Rhinolophus ferrumequinum: one gene and its partners. The protein of the gene in region 2 binds, or shares a complex with, the protein of the main gene of each other region. Links are inferred from orthologs where the notes say so. Each region holds a gene or a part of one and is shown on either strand. Other genes may lie near its edges.

Region 1 (7,902 bases), on a different chromosome or scaffold from region 2:
GACTGTCTTCACGGAGCAGGTGTTTGTGGACAACTAGCAACAAGATGGAATCAAAGTATCCCAAGCTGAAGAGTTGCTAGGTGCCCAAAGAGGCCTCAGAGTACCCTGGTGTGATCTCCACGTTCCCAGGGCTACACCTGGGAACCTGATTTAACAGCATGGTAAGAGTGGATTTCTTTCTCCCTCTCTCTCTCTCACTCTACTTTCTCTCTCTCAGGTGGAAACCCACTAATACACCCTGATGTATAAAAAGTTTGTTTATTAACTTATAACTAGGGACTTGGATCCTCTGATAAGTATATTACTCATCTATAGATAGATCTACACAAAAAGCCAAAATATTATCAAAAGTCTGCTGCACACAAGCATAGACTCAGAAGAAAGGGAATTAGAACATGAGTCCAGTATTTAATAGTATTAGATTTGCTATAGCCCAATGCACTTGTCTCCATAAGGAACAAGACAGATTACATCCCTCACTGTGTCTTTATCTGGACTTGATCTAATAGCTTTACTAGATCTGATATTTTATATTCAATTTCAACTTAATTTCCATTGTCTTCTGGTGCAAATGGAAGTATACTAGGAACTCAAAAGGGTTAGACAAACCACAACAGTAGAGAACCATGGCTCAAGATGTATGAGGAGGAAGAATGTCCTTAATTATTCTGCATGACTTTCAATCTCTAAACTCAGATATACTCTATCCCATAATATACAAGAAACACAAACACTGCTGATTGTCTTCTGAGGCATTATGAGACATCATAGAGGTGAGAAGAAACAAGCGTATGTTCTGATTTTTCTAAATAGAGAAATGATTTGAGCCTGAAAGGACAGAAAAAGAAGTAAGTCTAACATAAACCTCTGAAACGTTTAGACAGATTGTTTGTTGGGCATCGAAAAGAAAGCAGCGATCCTGAGGAAGCAACACGAGTTTACTACAAAGGCATCAGCCATTCAACCAGTTCATCAGTTATACTGTAGGCTGGATTATTACCAGACATATTTATGTATTAGTTTATCAGATTTAAGATCAAACTCAAATATAAATCATAAAATCAACTGGATGGTAGTTAATTTTCTATGCCCCAAACCAGTGAACGCAGCAGCAATAATGTGTTCTTCGGAAGTCTGGGTGAAACTATAGTGAGCTGATCTGACCAATACCCACTCCACCTCCTGTAGTAACCCTGAAGGCAACTTTTCAGTTCTGATAATATTGCCTTTACTGCAAACATATCTAAATTCTGCTTTCAGAATTCCATTCTGAAGTTTACTTTCTTTCGTTACTGGTTGAAAGTCACTGTCCTTTGAAGAATTTTTTAATTTTTTAGAAACAGTCAAGTCTATTAAAAACAAGAAAAAAAGATGAACTCTGATCACCTAGTCAATTGAATGAGAGGGTGGGGAAGTAAGGAAGGCAAAGATTAAGGGTCTACACATAAACCAAGGAAACAGATTTAGTTGAGGGTCTTATAAATTGGCCCTAAAAGCAATCTCTAAACAGGGATTTTTCTAATGGAGGAAAATGTCCTTACTACTTTTGAATTTTTACAGATTATCTTGCTTTCAAATGTTTAAAAATGCAAGTTTAAAATGATAAGGGAGATTGAATATAGGAAGACATACAGACTTTTCTATATCTTCCTTTCTTCTGACTTAGCAATGTGATCCGAGCATTACCAATATCTTTTAGTAATAGAACAGGTTTCATTCCACTTTAAATGCATTTATATATATATGATTTTTAAAAATCGGGATAACAGATTTTATCTTCTAATGTTCTGATAGGGTACAAATCTTAGCTCTTTTATTTAAACTTAAATAGAATTTTTAAAACACATAGGAACAAAGATTTAGATAGTTTTAAGTTTGTATCTTCTCTTAAATTCTTTTGAAAACAAAATTCAAACTTTAACTCTAAATGCAAAAATATTCAGTTACCAATAGATTCACATTATATTCAAATGTTATCTTATACATGACTTGAACCAAATTTTAAAAGTTAGAAGATCAAAAGTAGTACCAGAAAGAAATGAATGTAATGTTACTTTTCCAGTATGCCTCATCCATGCAAATTTTCCCAGGGGACATTTCAAATACTCTATATCAGAAGTTAATTGAATAAGAAGTAAAAAAAAGAAAAAGAAAAAAAAAAGAAATGATCTTTACTTATAATTTAACCTTATTTCAGGAGGAATAAAGATGATTTACAAAACTCCATATAATTCAATAAGATATTTTATAAGCAAGTATTAAAGGAAGTATTAAAAAGAAAACAAATGTGGGAGAAGTAAGCCAGGGCTGACGTAAGTATTCACATTCATGCTGTGAAGTCCCATGTACTTGTTAAATTTGACTTAGGCATTCTAACAACCATTGAAAAGAAGGACATAATCAAGTCCCTGATTCATAAAGTTTAAAAAATAAAGTCTATTTAGAGGGGGGAGACATTCTAGGTTCTGAAGTCTGAGGGTAGAAAAGCTCAATCACTCACCTGCTAACTTAAAATATTTCCTGGTGGTACACTGAGGTGGTTTAAAGTGGAATTACATAATTGGTCAGGAGTACCTAAAGTACAACTCAGACCATTTCACTCCTCTGCTCTAAAAAGTTCTCCATTCCCTATAAATTTTTTGTTCTGCCATTTGAGGCCATCCTTAAAACCAAATTGAGGTGAGCTCCCTGAAGGCAGACAGCATTTCTTATTCAACATTGTGTTGCCAGCATTGTCACAGACCTTTGTGATAGAATAGGTGATAACCGACGCTCAAAGATGTTATATTACACAGAAGGATTCTCCATCAGCCAAGAAAATCTGTGGAACTTTCTCCAGCCCTCATCTCTCTACCTGTACGGTTTTCCCCTGACAACTCTACCTGTTGAATGGTTACCAGTATCTTCAAAGTCCATAATAAGGATGATAACGTCTCCATCACCAAAAATAACTACAATAACATCACTTTGTATTTGTATGGTGCTCTATGGTTGACACAAAACTTGTAATCTATTCTCACAACCAGCTTGCTTTGTGGGCCAAACAGTGATCGTGACCCTGCTCTACCATGCAGAAGACATCTTTCTTGAAGAAGGTACCTCCTTATTAAGTGGTAAATGTCATTTCCTCCTGATTTCCATAACGGGATGTGGTTTCTTCCTCTCCTTTAAACCCTTGTGGCATTTGGTTTATACATCTCTTGTGACTAGTAACTACATACATTTTATATAGTGCTACAGTTTACAAAAACACTTTCTCATGCTAAGTTCCTATTTCTTTTTCATTCCCACAACATTGTTTAAAGAAAAAAATAATCTTCTCCTTACCTTGAGGACCCTGCTGCTCTCTCCACACTCTCTAAAAATATACTCAGATTACACCACCCACAACTACTACCACACTCATTTTATCATCCTCCAAGAACAACAGAAACTAACTTCTAGGTCCCTACTCTCTGCCAGGTGCTGCTGGGATAATTTTTTATAGATACCACTATGTCAATTTAGCTCTTCTTTGCTCGTAGATTGTTAAATTTGATTTCCCTTCAACAAAACCCCACACCAACCAAATTCTAGAAATATGTACTTTCTTCCTCTGTGTATACTTTAAGTAATAAGGCCAAAGTGTAGTGATGCTGAGGAGAAACTGACACCCTTTCTGAAACTCTGCGGCACTGACACACTTAGGGACCGATTCTGGCTGGAGTGCACCACAATAGTGTAACACATCAGGTGAATCAGAGATGTGTTGACAAAAGCTGCCAGTTAGGGAAATTTCTGATGATGACATCATCAGGTAGGAAAAGACTCCAGCAGAGGTATTCTGATGATGAAGCTCTTCGTTCCTCACTTTGGCTCAAAGTGACAGCTTCAAGCCAGAAGAAGGCTGGGAACAGAACCAAGATAAAGGCCACTACCAGGAATCTCCTGGGTCTGAGGACAGAAAAAAATCCGTGTGTCAAGATGTGGCATTACACAATTCCAGGGGATACTCTTCACATGGAATACAATATGCATGGTATTCTTGGAGTTGTGCAAGAAGGGGTCCTCCCCTCTGTGTCTGGCTCTTTCCCTCCATTCCACTGACTGAGCGCCATAGGGGACATCCATGTTGGAGACCCTCAAGGGAACCGGACACTCTCAGGCTTTCATAACTCATTTGACGATTTAGTGTTTGGTGTTTTTATTTCAGTTCATTTAATGGCTGTCACTTCCTGTTAAAGATACCCGCATAGGTGTGGGGCACAATGGGATTCTCCAGGCATACTGAATGGGAATGTGAAGACCAGGGCCAGGCCCGAGGGGTGACTCCTCTCACAGCGTAACTCTGACTCCTGTGGCAAAGATTTCCCCAGAAAAAGTCAACTTTACCTGGCATGTGTGGCCTCCATTCTTTTAGCTATGTTTTCCTGAGGAAAGCCTCATCTTTTGAGAACAGTGAATTAGAAATTATTCTAATTCCTATCTGGGGCCTGGTGACTATTCCCACCTGCCCTTTCGGACTGTGGTTCTCAAAACTGACTGCACTTTAGAATTACCTAGAGAACCTTAAAAAAATACTTTGATGCCTGGTTTCTATTTCAATTAAACCAGGATCTCTGAAGGTGAGGACTAGGCAACTATATTTTTTAAAAGGTCCCCAAGTGGCTTCGTTGTGCCATCAGCGTTGCGAATCTATGCCTCTGGTGGTGTTCTTATTCCTCCTCTGATCTCACCCTCAGTGACAAACTGAGCTTCAGAAGGTTTGCCCAGCTGGAGCAACTCAGTTGTGAAACTAGAGAAGGGACCAATGAGATCACAAAGGTGATGAGACAACATGTCATTCAAAAGAGATATTTATCAAGCTCCACATTCCAGGCCATGGGCTGGGAACACACAATAAATAACACAAGTTGCCTGTGCCCTCAACAAGTTTCTGCTCTAGTTGGAAAAAACAGATATGTGAAGGACTGCACTGCAGAGCAAAATTAAATTGAGGTACGTGGGAGCACAGGCTGGGGAAATAAGGAAAGGTATGGGGGGACAGAAGGGATTTGAGATGGGTCTTCAGGGAAAAATAAAATTTTGATCAATGAAAAGGAGGCAAAAAGCATTCCATAGAGAGGCATAGCTTGAGCAAAGGCATAGGAGTAAGGAAGTGGATGGGATGGTAGGAAGTTATAGGAACCTGGTGGAACTTCAAAAAATGGTGGGCTATGATGCTGTAAATTTAAATGAAAACTTGGAGAGCCTCAGAAGCCCCCGTGAGGAATAGATAGGTGTATGAGTCTGCATGACACGTGTCTTAGATGGAGTGGGCCACAACAAAGGTTTAAAACTCAATAGTGCATAACCAGATCTGAAACAAATGGGAACATGATCAACATGAACTTGGATAAATGCATCTGAGGTAGTTACTCATCCTGCGCTCTGGCAACCTGTTCTCTGCTGAATGCCCACTACTTTTAGGAATCTGAACGCACCTCTGTTGCATTCTTTGTGCTGTTTACATATGTTCTCTGTTCAGAATGCTCTTTCCTCCCTTCTTTGACGACTCCTATCTATTGGTCAAACTCTGAAATCACCTTCTCTGTGCCTCTTTCTATACAGCACTTCTGCAGGGATAGCTAATAATAGTGCTTGTAAAATGTATTTATTGAGATGTCTGTCTTTCCTTCCACATTGTGAGTCCCTAGAGGACAGGAATGGGATCTTTTTAAACTTTCAATCACCAGGACTCAGCACAGTGGCTGGCATGTTGCAGTGTAGACTTACTGGCTGAATGGGAAAGCATCTACCAGATGTTGGAAAGATTCAAACTTAGCAATTATGTCCTTTAATGTTTGAGCATAGGGATTTAGAAAAAAAATTTCCATATTTAAAGCCATTTGCTCAGGCTTGAAACATTTCTCTTCTGATGTGTTTACTTATCTTAAAAAAGTGACAGTTGTTGAACCTATCAATTTATTTCCATATAGCAAGCAATAGTTCTTTCTTTGGTAATAATCTGCCAAAGAAATATTAAAGTTAATATGCCTTTGGCTAGTGGAAACATAAGTATCACTCAAAAAGCACCTACAATCCAGTGAGGCCTACAGAAAGGAAAAAAATCCCCTTGGGGGTATGACAATGGAATTTGGGGGTTTGATGGGCTGAGAAGAGGGAGGTTGGGGCTCATTGTGAATTCTGTTGATTTCCAATTCCTGAAATACATTTCATTAGTTGGGGGATTAAAAGGTTTACTGGTGAGAGTGTTAGTTGTCAAAGGATTGAGGGCAGATTCTACAATCCTATAAAAGAGAGTTCCGGCAGCTTCTTCAACAGAAATCTAGAAAGATTTGGTATCTTGGAAATCATTTTGCTCTATTGCTATACTTTTTTAGCTCTTCTATAACAATCCTGCTGCCCTTGGAAAAAATGGTAACTTTCATGAACTTAATTTTTGCACTGTTGCTCTCATATCCTATTTGCAAGGCACTCTGACATTTCTCCTTGAAGTTCTATTGGTTTTTGCCTCACATATTTTGAAGCTCTGTTGTTAGGCTCATACACATTAAGGATAGTTATGTCTTCTTGGATAATTTAACCCCTTTATTATTATGCAATGTGCCCCTCTTTATCCCTGACAATTTTCCTGTTCTGAAGTCTGCTTTGTCTGAAATTAATATAGCTACTCCCACTTTCTTTTGATTAGTATTAATTAGCATGGTATATCTTTCTCCATCCCCCACCCCATTTTTTTAAGGAGGGCGCAGCTCACAGTGGCTCATGTGGGGATCAAACCGGCAACCTTGGTGTTATCAGCACCATGCTTTAACCAACTGAGCTAACCAGCCATCCTGAGTGCCTTCACTTTTAAAGGATAATTTTGCTGGATATTAAATTCCAAGTTTGTGTTTTGTTGTTGTTGTTGTTGTTTTTACCAACACTTTAAATATTTCACTCCGCTCTCTTCTTGTTTGCATGGTTTCTGATGTAATTTTCATCTTTCTTCCTCTATAGGAAAGGTGATGCTTTTCCTCTTGCTTCTTTCAAGATTTTCTCATTGTCTTCGGGTCTTTTTAGTTTGAATACGATATAGCTAGGTGTAGATTTTTGGGCATTTCTCTTGTGTGGTTTCTTCTGAGCTTCCTGCATCTGTGGTTTGGTGTCTGTCATTAACTTTGGAAAATTCTTGGCCATTATTACTTACAATATTTCTTCCATTCCATTCTCTTTCTCCTCTCCTTCTGGTGTTCCAATTATGTATATGTTACATCTTTTGAAATTGTGCCAGTTCTTACATATTCTGTTCTGATTTTTTTTCTTCATTTTTTTCCCCTTTGCATTTTAATTTGGAAATTTTCTATTGATATATCTTCAAGCTCACTGATTTTTTCCTTGGGACCATGTCCAGTTTACTGACAAGTCCATCAAAAGCATTCCTCATCTTCATTACAATGTTTTTCATTCCTGGCATTTCCTTCTGATTTTTTTCTTAAGAGTTTCCACCTCTCTGGTTACATTACCCAACTGTTCTTGCACATTCTCAACTTTTTTCATTAGACCCCTGAGCATATCATTCATAGTTATTTTAAATTCTTTGACTGATAATTACAAAATCTTTGCCATATCTGAGTCTGGTTTTGATCCTTGCTTTGTCTCTGTAGACTATTACTTTTCTTGCCTGTTAATAGGCCTTGTAATTTTTGTTGAAAACCAAATATAATATATCTGGTAGTGAAAACTGAGGTGATTAAGCATTTAAGGTAAGGTTTTACATTAATCTGTTTAGGAGCTGGATTGTGTTTCATGTTTGCGGTACCAGTAGGTATCAGAGGCTTCCATTTCCTCTAGCGTCTTTGTTGTCTTTGGATTTCTCCCAAAACTCCTTCTTATATAGAGATTGGACCTTGCAACTCTTTCAGCTGTAAGCCATTATTT
Region 2 (7,586 bases):
ATTCTGGGGAAGGCTCTAGGGATGGACTGAAAAGCATTGGTGCCTTCAAAGGAAAGAGCAGAGGAGGGAATTACCAGGGTTTGCATGGGGGAGATCCGAATATTAGAAATAGGAGCCTCTAGAGAAGGCTTGGAGAAGCTGGAAGGCTGAGGGGTGATGTCCTTGTCCTTTCACTTCTCACTCACAGCCCTTACTTCACTGTGGCCTTCTCCACACACCCTGTCAGTCAGCTTGGCAGATGGGGCTTTCCAGCGTTCTCTGCCTTGCCCTAGGTACCAGGAAAAGGAGGCTGTTGAAAGGGCTGAGGTTCTTTGCAACTTGTGACTTGGCTCTTAGAGACAGAAATGGACAGGTGGCTGGTTAAAATAGGCCTGGTGGCCCCCAGCCAGAGGAACTTAGCTGACCTGACAACCCCTGGATTGCTTCAACCTCTCTTCCCCTTAGGGACCCAAGGACCTCCCCTCTTGACTCCTGTTCCTACTACACTAAGGAAGCTCAGTTTCTAGCGGGAGGTGATGGGAGTTGTCATGAAGAATCCTTAGGGGGGAGGTGGGGAGGGCTGTGCATTTCTTTGTTCAGTATAGCAGGATAATACGGTTAAGAGGGCGAGCTCTTATGTCAGACTGCGTGGATACAATCCTGGCTGCACCACTTCATAGATTCTAAGATGAACTGACCACCCCTGCTACAGTGTTCTAGGAATTCAGCCATGATAGAGACAAAAATCCATGCTCTCGTGGAGTTTGCATTCTAACTGTGGGGACAGACAACTAAATAAGATAATTTCTAGCTGTGTGGCCTTAGGCAAGGTATTTAACCTCTCTAAGCCTCAGTTTATCGTTAAAACAGAGATGATATTATTGTTGTTGTTTTGAGAAATAAATGAAATAATCCTGAATCATGTACACGGTACCCAACATATAGTAAATATTCAACATGTGCTACCTATTGTTACTAGGGAAGATTTCCTTGTCAAGGGTTCTAATTCTCTCTCTTGTTCTTAGGTAATTCAGTACCAAACTGTTCGATATGATATCCTTCCCTTATCTCCTGTGTCCCGGAATCGGCTAGGTATGTGTGCTGGCTGAGAAGACTCCTCTAATGTGAGGTAGGAGTCAAGGTCTGGGCTGGAGGTTGGTTGATGTTTTCCCTTCCTGTTGTGGTTCAGGCCAGGTGAAGAGGAAGATCCTGGTGCTGGATCTGGATGAGACACTTATTCACTCCCATCATGATGGGGTCCTGAGGCCCACAGTCCGGCCTGGAACACCTCCTGATTTCATCCTTAAGGTGTGTGGGGATGGAATGGAATGGTTATGGCTGTTATTCGTCTTAGGCTGGACTCCCTTTCCCAATCCCAGAATGTCTCATCTCCATCCCCATCCTCTGGCACCAGTGTCAGCCTGAAGGAGGGAAGCAGGCAATGGGAGGGTGTCCTTTAGGCCATGTCCTGGTGCTCAGTACTTCCCCTAGCCCTTCCCTATTCCTCTACAGGTGGTAATAGACAAACATCCTGTCCGGTTTTTTGTACATAAGAGGCCCCATGTGGATTTCTTCTTAGAAGTGGTGAGTTTGCGAAAGCCAAAGGGAGCTCTGTTATGAAGGAATGGTTTTAGGGTTCTGGGAATTTAGAGAATTTGGAGGAAGTAAGGGGTGAGGAGAAATGGATAAGGGCAATTTTGAAGAGGGGAGGCTGTGGGATGGTTGGAGAATGGCTTTCACTAGTTCGGGTTCATTTGTTTTGCTGATGTAATTCTTTTCTTCCACAGGCTTCCTGTTCTTTTGTTCTTGCATCTCTGAATCTTAAGGGTGTATGGTGCCTAAGACTTGAGTTTGGGGGCGTTCACAATTTTGTGTCCTTAGAGATAATTTGATATTGCTGAAAGTCCTGAAGGACAAGGCTGCAGTCCTGGTGAATGGGAACTGTGTATCTAAAGGATGATCACCTCTTCTGACACCTCCCTTTCCCCTGTCTATTTCAGGTGAGCCAGTGGTACGAGCTGGTAGTATTCACAGCAAGCATGGAGATTTATGGCTCTGCTGTGGCAGATAAACTGGACAATAGCAGAAGCATTCTCAAGAGGAGATACTACAGACAGGTAAGGGGCTAGAATCCAGGTCTAAGAGTGAAGCTCCAGAGGCAGACCACCAGGGAGTGATTTGAGTTGGAAGCAATTGCCCTGAAATGGGACCTTCTAGTCGTATGTGTGTGGGCGGTGGTATACTGCATGATCCCCTTTGTGGGAATTGGCTGCCCAAGGCGTTGTTGGGATGGGGGGGAGGACAGTCACAGAGAGCGAGTTTCCTTTTGATGCCCAGCTTACCCTGCCTTCCAGCACTGCACTTTGGAATTGGGCAGCTACATCAAGGACCTCTCTGTGGTCCACAGTGACCTCTCCAGCATTGTGATCCTGGATAACTCCCCGGGGGCTTACAGGAGCCATCCAGGTATGGGGGAAGGTGGTGAGTCTGGCAGGACCAGGAAGTGGTTCTGAGGAGGTATTTTGAATACGTGGAGTTGTGATGCCTGGTTTACTGTAGGTCAGGATGCAAGTTGTTTCTCTTCTAAGTGAGACGTTCCCCTCTCTCCCACATGATCATTTCATAAATCAGATTTCTTAAAAGCAGGTGAGACACAATGACAATAAGTTTGACCAGAGGCCTCACACTAGTATGATATGTGGTGATCGAAATTTAATTTTATTTTGGAGGATAAATCAAGAAGGTTTTTACTTAGATTATTGAGTTTGGGTGGAAGGTATATATTTGAAAGTAATGATCCTTACTCCCAAATAAAAGAAAAAAACACCCTGTCTCTTTTGAATCCTTTGTTCTCATGTGCATTTTTCACTCAACTTAGACAATGCCATCCCCATCAAATCCTGGTTCAGTGACCCCAGCGACACCGCCCTTCTCAACCTGCTTCCAATGCTGGATGCCCTCAGGTAAGGGAAGCTAGACACTTAGATTTCTGAGGAAAGGAGGAGGTGGGGGAATCCCAAGAGGAAAAAAAAAAGTTTGACCTGTTTTACTTACTTATCTCTCTTCCCTAAGAATTTAGCATTTGAGCCCAGGTCTTAGACTAAAGCTCATCACTTTTAGCCGTTGGGTTTTGGGCAAACTGAACATCATCTGAAAATGGTGATCATTTCTGCCCCACATCTCCAGTGAGGCTGCCTCACACTAGTGTTGTGGGGATATTAACTATAAGGACTCTACCAATGCAAGTTATTGTCATCCCAGGTTCACCGCTGATGTTCGTTCTGTGCTGAGCCGAAACCTTCACCAACATAGGCTCTGGTGACAGCTGCTCCCCCTCCACCTGAGTTGGGGTGGGGGGGAAAGGGAGGGTGAGCCCTCAGGATGCCGTCTGATGCCCTGTCCAATGGTGAGGACTGCCTGGGCAGGGTCTGCCCCTCCCTCCCCTCTCTGCCCTGGGAGCCCTGCACTCTGTATGGAGTCTGGATGGACACATGGGCTAGATTCTGAAGCAGCCTCACTCTAACTTCGTGTTCAAACTCCTTGGAAACCCCAGACTGGGACATAAGCAGAGGCCTAGGAGAGCCGAAACTGTGTCTGTGGTGGAGAGACAGGACTGGCCAGAGTGAGAGACAGACATTCGGTAATCCAGGAGGCTCAGAGAGAAGCCAAGCCAGCTTTGTTGTGATTTGATTTTTTTAAAACTCTTGTATAAAACTGATCTAATTCTTTACTCCAAGGGCTGGGCTGTGGGTGGGAAACTGGGATTTGGGCCACTGGATTTTCCCCAAACTTGTCCTCCCTTTACTTTTCCCTCTGTTTTCCCTTTTTCCTAGATTTCCTCAGACCTGTAACCAGTTTTTTTTTTTTTTTTTTTTTCTCTTTTTTTCTTTCCTCTCTTTTAAACCATGCATTATAACTTGGAAACCAAAGCTGCCCTAGGTCCTTCTCTGGGGTTTGGGTAAATGAAGGGGAGGGGTCTTTGTTCACATCCATCCTGCCCTCTAGGCAGAGGGGAGAGACTGCTGTTGGGCCCAAGGGGTAAGGGGAAAATGTGGTGTTGGGTTGTCTGATGAAGTAGTGAACATTGACATCAGATGATTTGGCGGGAAGTGAAGGGTCAGCGCCCTGGCTGGGAGCGAAAAGTACAGCTATATGTCTGGAGAAGACTCGAGCTCCAGAGCAAGACACAGAAATATGAAAGGAGAAGCCTGAATGCCAGAAAAGGCATATAGCTGGAGAGAGGCTGGGCTGGGGGGACTGACGTAGACAAGCTAAGTGGGCGCCGCCCGCAGGTAGCTTGTGCCACAGGCCGTCCACTCCCCGGTCAGGTTAACCTCCCTCCCGCCTCCGGCTCCCCGCGCCCTCCTCCCCGAAGCCGGCTCTACTTCCTTGTAGCTGCCACGTGATGCTCCGCCCTTCTCTGAGATCACATGATTTCGTTGATACAAATACTAGTGGTGTTCTTCCGCGCTGACGTAGTCCCAAACGTTTCGGACCTTTACATTCCCTCTTGGTCCACTCATTCCTGGTACTTATGCTTTCTGTGCATCTCTCTAAACATATATTTCGTTTCTGCGCTCCTGTATTTCCGAAGGCCACCTCCTCCATTTGGGTACTATTTTGTTTTGGTGTCAACGGCCGTCTTTAGCGTACCAGCACATTTCTTGAATAGCTATCCTTGTAATTCTCTGCTTTTTCCTTTACGTTATGTCCGAAAAGAATTTTTGATGAATAAGTCTCAAGTTATGATTACTATCTCCTAGCTTCTTTTCACCCCTAGCTTCGTGGGGGAAGGTCGGGAAACGGGTTTTCAGTTATTTTTGACGGTAGCAAAAGCCAACCACCTTTGCTACGTCGCCTGCGTAACCCACAAGTTGATTCCGAAGCTATTACGCTGACGGCGTGGCGGGGGCAGGGGGGTGGTCAGTAGGTGGTGCTAAGTTAGCGGCGTCAGGGCTGCTGCGCTAGTGGCGTAATGTAGCAGGCAGGGCGGCCCCTGATGGGCGGGGGCGGGGTTGGTGAATAGGGAAGTGGCGCAAGTCCTGGGATCGCTCCGCTGAATCCGCCCGCGCGTCGCCGCCGTCGCCGCCTCCCCCAGTCCCGGCCCCCCCGGGTTCCCTCAGCCCAGCCTTGTCCAGCCCGGTTCCCGGGAGGATGAAGTTCGTGTATAAAGAGGAGCATCCGTTCGAGAAGCGCCGCTCTGAGGGCGAGAAGATCCGAAAGAAATACCCGGACCGGGTCCCGGTGAGGACCGTAGCCAGGGCCGAGGGCGCGGGGCGCTGGCGCTGGTGCTGGCGCTGACGCCACAGCCTGGGCTTGGGTCGGGGACGGGCAGTTTGGGTATCAAGCTTCCTGCTGTGGCAGGGTTGGGAACGAACCTGAAACTGCTGTCTCTGGGACCGGAGGTGAAAGGAGTGGGGTAGCGGTGGTAGCTGGGGGTGAGGGGGTGTAGATGGGAGAGATAGACCTTGAGATTCGTGTGGGAGGCTGTAGGGAGTTTGACAGTCTGAATGTCACATGGTCATTCCCCCGAGTTCTTGAGATTGAAGCTGTAGTCGCCCCAGACAAGTCATTCCCGTCTAATGAAGGTAATTATTTATTATGACAGGGACCTGGATGATTAGGTGAGTTGAGTCAGTGGGGTTAGAATCTCTACTCAGGTCTGCACCGCGTGTTCATAGACAAAGAATTGAGTCTGGGGTAGGTCTGCGTGCTAGAAATACTGTTGCTTGAGTTCCTGACAGGTGGAGCTGTGGGACGCTATACCTACTGTCTCCTAATTTTCATCTTCCCTTTATCAGGTGATAGTAGAAAAGGCTCCCAAAGCTCGGATAGGAGACCTTGACAAAAAGAAATACCTGGTGCCTTCTGATCTCACAGGTGGGAACCTGACCCAATACTCAAGTTTGCTTCCTGTGGGTGTGAGTGCAATCTCTGTGGGAGGAGGCTCCACATAGCAGCTGTTCTTTTGAGGGCTTTTGTGCTATCTGTGACTTTATCACACCTTGTATCTTTGGCAGTTGGTCAGTTCTACTTCTTGATCCGGAAGCGAATTCATCTCCGAGCTGAGGATGCCTTGTTTTTCTTTGTCAACAATGTCATTCCACCCACCAGTGCCACGATGGGTCAGCTATACCAGGTACGGGGACTGGGACGTAATGGAGGCTTTGGAGAGGAGGTGGAAGAGCGTGAGAGGAAGCAAGTTTTACGTCGGTAGTTCTTGGACTAGCTGGCTTGCTGAGCTCTCAATTTTATCTTTGGCCTGAAACTTTGTGGATAGTCCTGAGTTGGGGGTTTGGGCAGGCAGTGGGAGTAGAGAGAAGGGAGAGAACAGTGAGCTGGAGCAAGTATTCTAATTCTGACTCTCCCTAGTCCCTCCCCACAGCAGCAGAGAACAGTTGAAGATCTTTTTTGCCCAGGGCTGCTTCTAGGGATAATCCGACTAGACTACTAGGGCTTGGAGCAAGTGATGAAGAGAATCAAGGCACTGGTTTTGGGAGTTTTCAAAAAGAATGGTTTTTAAAGCATGTGTTTGGGTGGCAGGTGGTTTAGGTAACTAAAGCTCAGATGTCTGAGCAGCATCATTTTCTGTTTTCACTCCAGGAACACCATGAAGAAGACTTCTTTCTATACATTGCGTACAGTGACGAAAGTGTCTATGGTCTGTGAAACTGCTGCCCCTGCAGTGGGGGGGTCCCATTCTACAAAGAGAGAGGTGGCCCCCCTTCCTTGACCACCTCCTCCTTCAGGCTCAAACACCACCTCCCTTCAGGACCTGCACTTCCTAATGTTTGAGGCTCTTTTCCCAGACCCTCTTAGCAGGAGGGTTAATGGGTGGAGATGGCCTCTAGTACCTCTCCTTCCTCCTTTCTTCCCCTTTCTATACCACTTTCCCACTCTGCTTTAGACTTCTTGATTGTCAATCTCTGTCACATCCAGTGATTGTTTTGGTTTCTGTTCCCTTTCTAACTGCTCAAGGGGCTCAGAACCCCAACAATCCTTTCCTTTCACTACCTTTTTTTGGGGTAGATGGAAGGGACTGAAATTGTGGGGGGAAGGTAGGAGGCACATTAATAAAGAGGAAACCAAGCTGAACTGGATTTTGCTTTGTATTCCTTCCCTCCCCCTTTTGTTTTTTAGTCATCGGTGGTGGGAAAGAGGTTGGAGGGATGGTCATATATTTCAGTTTATTCTGTTGATGTTGGGGTAGCTTTTCCTTGTGCATAAAAAGGGTGCTTTTATTGTGATGGATGAGATACTCTGAGTTGTTTCTTGAAACTTTAGCTTTATCTACATGTGTATTGGGTCCTTATGGAAAGAATAACTTTTTTATTGTGGGTTCCTGTGGAGAAAGTTTGATAGTACCTGCTTTAGATATACACATCCAAGTTTATTACAACCTTTTGGATTAAGGAAGTTTTCGCGTGTGGAGGCTGCTAAAAGGACTCTGTCTTCAGATGTATGTCACCTGGCCAGACTTTGTGCCAGAATATGGGATCCAGTGGAGGGGAATCCAAGGGAGGGAGAAGACTGGGACGAGGGAACCATTATCACCAGGAAAACTTCATCTTCCAGCAACCACTTCTCCGTTTGGCCGGAAGTGGGGC
Region 3 (7,668 bases), on a different chromosome or scaffold from region 2:
GGTGATTTCTAAGCTCCTTATGTGCAAAACCAGCAAGACTTGGGGCCGGTTGAATCCCTGAGAGTTTGGCTAGTTTGAATTTCAGAGCATTGTTGGCCTGTTTTATTTTTCCAGAGGATTAAGGGTGGTAAAGATAGTAACATTTTAGACTATGAAGTGAATTCCTCTATCACAAGTGAGGAACAAAGGGATCCCCACATGAGGAAAATTCTGGTAGCAACTTATCTACAGTTGAGGCAGTAGCCTGTTTGCAGAGAAAAGCTTCTAACCATCCTGGAAACAAGAATGTGCGTATCCTTTTTGTGTGTGTGTGTATAAAAGGGGGAGAGGGAAGTGAGTACTTGGAGAGTCCACAAGCAGGAGAAGAGGACACAGAGGTTTTCAGATTGAAATGCAGACATGGAGGGCGAGTCCCAATTAGGGTGATCTGCGTGGTTTCTTAGTCCTGGCCTATAAGGCAGAGCAATAGTGAAAAAGCTAGGGATCCAGTTCCAAGAAGAGCCAAATAATCCCAGAAACCATCAGAATTGTCTTTCAGTCTCAGGAAATGGATAATTGGTGACGGTGTTAATACATTTAGGGGACAAAGTCTTCTCTTCAATAGTGATAGCATGTCCTAGATAATTCTCTTGAGGGGGCCAAATAATTGCATTTTGTTTTTAGAAACTGTATGTCCATTGTGCACAGAAGCTTGGAGCAAATGAGTTGTCATAATCAGGTGAGCAGAGAAGGTCACCTGCATATTAGATAAGGAAAGAGTTGCAGGGAAAGGTTAAATTGCTCAGGTTTGCATTTAGGTAACCTGAGGTAACTATTTAACGAGGTAACCTGAGTTTAACTATTTTATTGCTTGCAAACGTTGGACTAGCCAATATTCCTTGCCATTTGGATTCTTTACTGTGGGGGGAGAGGCCAGAGTATTACAGGATGTGTCAATCAGGCCTTGAATCATAGGTTGAAAAGTTTGGAGGGCTTCTAATTTTAAATATGTTATGGAAATCTTGGGAGTGCCATGGAAGGGTCTAGTTCTACTTCGAGAGTTTTGGCCTCCCAGGTTTGGCTTATGTCAGTGGAATGAGCAGCCCAGAGGGAGTCAGGTGTTTTAGTTAACATAGTTTGTACTTTAGTGTTCGGGGTGCTTTCCAGGCGCAAGAAAAGTCTGTTGGTTAATGAGAATCATGAAAGGGCAAACACACATAGGTGTGGAAGCAGGGGCTTCCAGGGTGAGGCACTTGGGAGAGCAAAAAATATTGATATCCTACTGGAGAGTAAATCTCTGCCCAGAAAGACGACTTGGACGGAGGAGCTAAGCAGAAAGCTATGCTGTGTAATGAGAAGTATCAGTGAGGCAAAGAGAGAGTTAGAGAAAGGCAAGTCGTGTGGTAGATTAAGTCCCACGGCAGGTATCGTATGTGTACTCCAAGGGAAGGAAATAAAAGGTATTTGTATTAGTTTTCAAGGGCCGACATGGTACTTTGTTCCATACTGCAGATGTGGTGGCTTCAACAAAAGAAACTTATAATCCCACACTTGTGGAGGCAAGAAGTCCAAGATCAAGATGTTAGCTCCTTCCAAAGACTCTGAGGGAAAGCTCTGTTCTAGGTCTTTCTCCTTGGCTTGCAGATGTCCATCTTCTCTCTCTGTCTCTCCACATCATCTCCCTTTTATGCATGTCCTAATTTCCCCCATTTGTAAGGACACTAGTCATATTGGATTAGGGCCCACCCTCATGAACTCACTGTAAACTTGGTTGCCTCTGTAAAAACCCTGTCTTCAAATAAGGTCACACTTTTAATTACTAGGGTTTTGGACTTCAATATATGAATTCTGGAGGAATAATTGTGTTAATGGTGAAATTGTTGCCCTTGTGTCCACCAGGATGGTGGCGGGATATCCATTGATGGCAATGATTATTACCCCTTGCACATTAAGAGTTAGTTTTTCACCAAAAAAGGAGAGTGTCTCCGAGGAAAGTCCTAAATGATGGTTTTTTAGTCTTTTTTTTTTTAGATTTTTTTTTAACTTAAAAAACAAAATTTATTTAAGTGTGTTTTTTCAGGACCCATCAGGTCCAGGCCAAGTAGTTGTGATCGAACCTTGTTGTTAAGAGCACTGCACTCTAACCAACTGAGCTAACAGCCTGCCCTGGTTTTTAGTCTCTTGTTCACTTTTGCATTTTGAGACCAGTTAATACCAAGGCTTACGTGCCTTTTCAGTATCTGTAATAATCTCAGTTTTGGAGGGAGCAGATTATCCCGGCATGTTTCCTTCAAATTAAGTTGTAGTCTTCAGTTTGCATTGTTTTGATTTGGCCTTTTCTGCAACAGAGTCCTTGTGATGTTCACCTAATGTACGTATTTCAGAGAGAGAGAGAAAGATCACCTCACTAATTTCTAATATGTTTTGAATAATATCTGTAATTTCTGGTCATAGCCTTAATGAAGCTAGCGACCAAGGTGGAAAGGTTTCAGTCATTTAGAGTGACACCAGAGTAGTCCTTCCGAACATTTTCTAAACTATGTCCATAGTTAAAGACAGATTGATCTCTTTGTATTTTGTAATCTCCTATCTTTGACCAATCAGTTTTTGAAGGAAGACAGTGGGAATGAATTCTAAAAGTGGTTTTAGCCTGTATGTAAGCCTTGGGGGTGTTCTGATTTATTTCATTGATTGTTTGCTTGAACAGTGGCCCATTTGGCTTTTCAAACAATAAAGTGGCATCTCTGGGACCCACTAGTGGTAGCACAAGTTGTTATAAATCATGGGTCCCAAGAGACTATGTCCTGAGGATCGGTATGAATTGATAACTAGATTCTTCCCTATTTTTATGGTGGTCCAGAAAAACTTTAAATAATAACATGTAATAAAAACTTTAATAATAACATGTAAATCTGAGCCAGATTAAGGATTAAAGAATATTTGCTTAGGGGTCCTGCCTGAGACTATGGACTCATGATAAAAGAGACAGTCGTTAAGAGACTGTACAGTTTGAAATAGACTGGAGACATTTTATTTTTCAGCCTCCTCATACCAACCAAAATAAGCTGACCATTGGTGAGCCAAGATCTTAGCATCCCAAGATTTGAGGGCACCTTGTAGATAGACAGGCTTAGGGAAATTCCAAGTGAACCAAAGGGGGCTATTGGAGTTGTAAGTTGTCTTTAGTAAAATCCTGCCATTTTTGGAGGTAACGATCTGAATTTTCACCTTAGTGGTGAAGCATATAATTGGTGGGAATTTTGAACAGCATTGAATAGTGGATTGAGAGTTTCCCATAATACTAAGGTTAAACAACAGCTAGCAACAAAACCAAACCTAGAGATGGCTGGAGGCAGTTCCTTACAAAACAAAACATAGTCTTATCTAGCATCCAGCAATCACACTCCTTGATATTTACCGAAATGAGTTAAAAACTTATGTCCATGAAGAAAACCAACACATTTTATAGCAGGTTTATTCACTATTTCAGAAATTCAAAGGAAATAAAAATATTATTCAGTAGCTGAATGGATAAGTAAACTGGTATATCCATACAATGGAATAATAATAAATATAATAATAATAAAAGAAATGGCTATCAAGCCATGAAAAGACATAGAGAACTGAAATGAATATTGCTAAGTGAAAGAAGATATCTTAAAAGGGTACACATTGTATGATTCCAACTATATGACATTCTGGAAAAGGTAAAACTATATAGTCAGTAAGAAGAGCACTGGTTCCCAGTGAGTGGGGAGGAGGAAACATAAAACAGATTGAACACAGAGGATTTTCAGGGCAGTGAAACTATCCCGTATGATACTGTAATGGTAGATACATGATATTATATGTATTTTTTTCAGAACCCATAGAACTGTAGAACACAAAGAGTGAATGAACCCTAATATAAATATTTTAACATATATCACTATGAGTTTATCACTTGTAATAACTACGTATACTAACGCAAGCTGTTCACAGGAGAAAATATGAGGGGGTGGACTATATGGGAGTTCCTTGTAACTTTCTGCTAAATTTTCCAGTAAACCTAAAACTATTCTTAACAATAAAATCTATTATTTTAAGAAAATCAAAACTTAAAGGCATCTCTGCAGAAACCTGCAGGGTTTAAATTTTTTTCCTACAGGCTCATGATTTTAAATGAGTGGGTACTTCATTTTTCATAAATGCTAGAAGAAAAGCTAAAACTTAGTGAACCTTTAGATTATAGATACTGAGTAAGTACTTTATTGTTTTACTAATAAATGCGTATGTATTCAGAAAATAATATATATCCTATGCAATTTATCTCATTTAATTGTCACATAACGCTATGAAATACTATTGTTATTCACATTTTTTAAAAACACAGGAGACAGTTCTAGTATTTATCAATTGTTTACCAAAAACAATTGATAAATACTAGAACGGGCATCTAATCTGGATTCCTAACCGAAAATTCTACCGTAACACCAAATTGGAGATAATTAGCGATTTCTAATTCGGTCAGCTGAAACAACGGCCGAGAAATCTCGCGATACTATTGAAACTACTACTCCCACCATGCAAAGCGGCTTGTGCCTATCTGCCTATGTCCGTGGATCGGGCGGCCCGGCATGCCTCGAGGCGCGAAAGGCTACCTGGGCACCGTAGTTCTCCTGGACACATAGCGGTATCGCCAGCGCTGGTGGCCGCAGCGCTCTCGGTTCTCCCGGGTCCAGAGAGGGTGAACCGAGACAGAGAAAGGGCGCGGAACGGGAAGAAGGTGAGTCTGCACGGTGTATGCGATAAAGGGAGGTGGCACCGCGGCACAAGGTTGAATTAGGTAAATGGACTCGTGCTGCTATCTCTCCGGAGATACCGTTATCTTTGGGCTGGCGAGAGTCCGGTGAGGAGCCATAGCCTGGTCCTTACACCAGTTCTCACCTCAGCACCGCGGCCATCTCCACCATGCAGTCTCGGGAAGACGCTCCGCGCTCTCGCCGCCTCTCCAGTCCCCGTGGTGGGAGGCGGCCCAAAAGGATTCACAAGCCCACGGTTTCAGCTTTTTTCGCGGGCCCTGAGGAGCTGAAGGACACGGCCCATTCTGCAGCCCTGCTGGCACAGCTCAAGTCCTTCTACGACGCGCGGCTGCTGTGTGATGTGACCATCGAGGTGGTGACGCCTGGCAGTGGGCCTGGCACGGGCCGCCTCTTCCCCTGCAACCGTAACGTGCTGGCTGCCGCGTGTCCCTACTTCAAGAGCATGTTCACCGGCGGCATGTACGAGAGCCAGCAGGCAAACGTGACCATGCACGATGTGGATGCCGAGTCCTTCGAGGTGTTGGTCGAATACTGCTACACGGGTCGCGTGTCGCTAAGCGAGTCCAACGTGCAGCGCCTTTATGCAGCCTCGGACATGTTACAGCTCGAGTACGTGCGGGAAGCCTGTGCCTCCTTCCTAGCCCGCCGCCTTGACCTGGCCAACTGCACCGCCATTCTCAAGTTCGCCGACGCCTTCGACCATCACAGGCTGCGCTCACAGGCCCAGTCCTTCATCGCCCACAACTTCAAGCAGCTCAGCCGGATGGGTTCGATTCGGGAGGAGACCCTGGCAGATCTGACTTTGGCCCAGCTGCTGGCCGTGCTGCGCCTGGATAGTTTAAACATCGAGAGTGAGCAAACGGTGTGTCACGTGGCGGTGCAGTGGTTGGAAGCGGCTCCCAAGGAGCGGGGTCCCAGCGCTGCGGAAGTCTTCAAGTGTGTCCGCTGGACACACTTCACTGATGAAGATCAGGATTACCTGGAAGCGCTGCTAACCAAGCCCATTGTGAAGAAGTACTGTCTGGACCTTATTGAAGGGGCCCTGCAGATGCGATATGGTGACATACTGTACAAGTCTCTGGTGCCAAAGCCAGAGTGCAGCAGCAGCTCTGTTGTTTCTGCAGCAGAAAATCCACCCCAGAGGCTGGGTGTGTGTGCCAAGGAGATGGTGATATTCTTTGGACATCCCAGAGATCCCTTTCTCTGCTGTGACCCCTACTCCGGCAATATTTACAAAGTGCCGTCACCTTTGACCTGCCTTGCTCACACTAGGACTGTTACCACCTTAGCTGTCTGCGTCTCTCCAGACCATGACATCTATCTAGCTGCCCAGCCCAGGAAAGACCTCTGGGTGTATAAACCAGCCCAGAACAGTTGGCAGCAACTTGCAGATCGCTTGCTCTGCCGTGAGGGCATGGATGTGGCATACCTTAATGGGTACATTTACATCTTGGGTGGGCGAGACCCTATTACTGGAGTTAAATTGAAGGAAGTGGAATGCTACAGTGTTCAGAGAAACCAGTGGGCACTGGTGGCTCCACTACCCCATTCTTTTATCTCCTTTGACTTAATGGTAATTCAGAACTATCTTTATGCTCTCAACAGCAAGCGCATGTTCTGCTATGACCCTAGCCACAACATGTGGCTGAAGTGTGTTTCTCTTAAGCGCCATGACTTTCAGGAAGCCTGTGTCTTCAATGACGAGATCTACTGTATCTGTGACATCCCGGTCATGAAGGTCTACAATCCAGTCCGAGCAGAATGGAGGCAGATTAATAATATCCCTTTGGTGTCAGAGACCAGCAACTATCGGATCATCACTCATGACGAAAAATTGTTGCTGATCACCTCTCGCACCCCACAGTGGAAAAAAAACCGGGTGACTGTGTATGAATATGACATTAGTGGGGACCAGTGGATTAATATAGGTACCACATTAGGCCTCTTCCAATTTGATTCTAACTTTTTTTGCCTCTCAGCTCGTGTTTATCCTTCCTGCCTTGAACCTGGTCAGAGTTTCCTCACTGAGGAAGAAGAGATACCGAGTGAATCTAGTACTGAATGGGATTTGGGTGGATTCAGTGAGCTGGATTCTGAGTCAGGAAGTTCAAGTTCTTTATCTGATGATGATTTGTGGGTACAAGTAGCACCTCAGTGAAATACACAGGATCAGCAGGGTTTGTTGTACATAGGTTGAAACATTAAGGTGGTTTCACTGCTTTGGAAAGTATCTTAAAGAAATACCTGTTCCCTTTACTGTAGGAAAAGACAGTTGGTTGATTTCAGGTTTGGTTTAGAAAGGGTTTTGTTTGAACTAATGTAATTTAATGTTAGAGAATTTGAGCACTCCAAAAACAACCTATTTAATAATTTACTGTTCTAAAAGTCTAGTATTGATTTGTTCAGTATGTTTGTTAGATTATGCTGATTTAGTTTTCTACTGTTAAATCTTACATTCTGTTTAGTGCCACAAATACAGTAACTTGAATTTTAATTTTCATAATAGAAAACTTATTGGATAGGAATTACTAGATAGGGTTTTGAAAGTATATTTTTCTTCAGAACAGTGTAGTAGATTTCCAAAACTTTAGTGGGTTTTAACAAAGTGTGTTCTAACTTAAATACAGTTTGCTAAGTTTTAGTTTAGTTTTCTCCCTTTTTGAGAAGGAAAAAAAATGCATATATGTTTAATGTGACTGAATGTTGATTTCATTTGAAATACTGTTCAGAATGGTCGTAAACTCACTGGTAATAATAATAATAATAATAATAATAATAAACAGGAGTCTACTGTTTGAAAGGAAATTTCAGTTTTAAATTTGTAATATAAAATGTGTATTTGCAGATAGTGACCAATTTTCCATCTGGAAAATATTCCATTCTAGCA

Evidence for each region. Proteins that work in one complex are often made in the same cells at the same time.
Region 1: the proteins of GABARAP (region 2) and STX17 are in contact, whole or in part, in a crystal structure (PDB 7BV4), measured with the Homo sapiens proteins. The link is inferred for Rhinolophus ferrumequinum from reciprocal best matches to the Homo sapiens genes GABARAP and STX17. Residues at the interface, in NP_009209.1 of Homo sapiens: Tyr5, His9, Lys13, Glu17, Lys20, Ile21, Arg28, Pro30, Lys46, Lys47, Lys48, Tyr49, Leu50, Pro52, Leu55, Gln59, Phe60, Phe62, Leu63, Lys66, Arg67, Phe104; in NP_060389.2 of Homo sapiens: Ala169, Glu170, Ser171, Trp172, Glu173, Thr174, Leu175, Glu176, Asp178, Leu179, Glu181, Leu182.
Region 3: the proteins of GABARAP (region 2) and kelch repeat and BTB domain-containing protein 6 are in contact, whole or in part, in a crystal structure (PDB 4XC2), measured with the Homo sapiens proteins. The link is inferred for Rhinolophus ferrumequinum from reciprocal best matches to the Homo sapiens genes GABARAP and KBTBD6. Residues at the interface, in NP_009209.1 of Homo sapiens: Tyr5, Glu8, His9, Glu17, Ile21, Tyr25, Arg28, Pro30, Val31, Ile32, Leu44, Asp45, Lys46, Lys47, Lys48, Tyr49, Leu50, Val51, Pro52, Leu55, Leu63, Arg67, Phe104; in NP_690867.3 of Homo sapiens: Ser663, Asp664, Asp665, Asp666, Phe667, Trp668, Val669, Arg670, Val671, Ala672, Pro673.

What each region holds. Positions count from the first base shown.
Region 1 is NC_046295.1:55,881,950-55,889,851, forward strand, and holds the start of STX17 (syntaxin-17), read left to right. Parts: upstream 1-4,895; 5' UTR 4,896-4,977; intron 4,978-7,902. UniProt on the Homo sapiens protein: SNAREs, soluble N-ethylmaleimide-sensitive factor-attachment protein receptors, are essential proteins for fusion of cellular membranes.
Region 2 is NC_046304.1:11,589,996-11,597,581, forward strand, and holds GABARAP (gamma-aminobutyric acid receptor-associated protein), read left to right. Parts: upstream 1-4,996; 5' UTR 4,997-5,133; coding exon 5,134-5,223; intron 5,224-5,780; coding exon 5,781-5,859; intron 5,860-5,999; coding exon 6,000-6,118; intron 6,119-6,582; coding exon 6,583-6,648; 3' UTR 6,649-6,659; exon of another isoform or gene 6,660-6,703; 3' UTR 6,704-7,074; downstream 7,075-7,586. Other genes in the region: CTDNEP1 (CTD nuclear envelope phosphatase 1), read left to right, coding at 1,005-1,071, 1,169-1,287, 1,492-1,563, 1,980-2,096, 2,334-2,445, 2,858-2,942, 3,241-3,301. UniProt on the Homo sapiens protein: Ubiquitin-like modifier that plays a role in intracellular transport of GABA(A) receptors and its interaction with the cytoskeleton.
Region 3 is NC_046287.1:8,915,148-8,922,815, forward strand, and holds the start of kelch repeat and BTB domain-containing protein 6, read left to right. Parts: upstream 1-4,661; 5' UTR 4,662-4,929; coding exon 4,930-6,939; 3' UTR 6,940-7,668. UniProt on the Homo sapiens protein: As part of the CUL3(KBTBD6/7) E3 ubiquitin ligase complex functions as a substrate adapter for the RAC1 guanine exchange factor (GEF) TIAM1, mediating its 'Lys-48' ubiquitination and proteasomal degradation.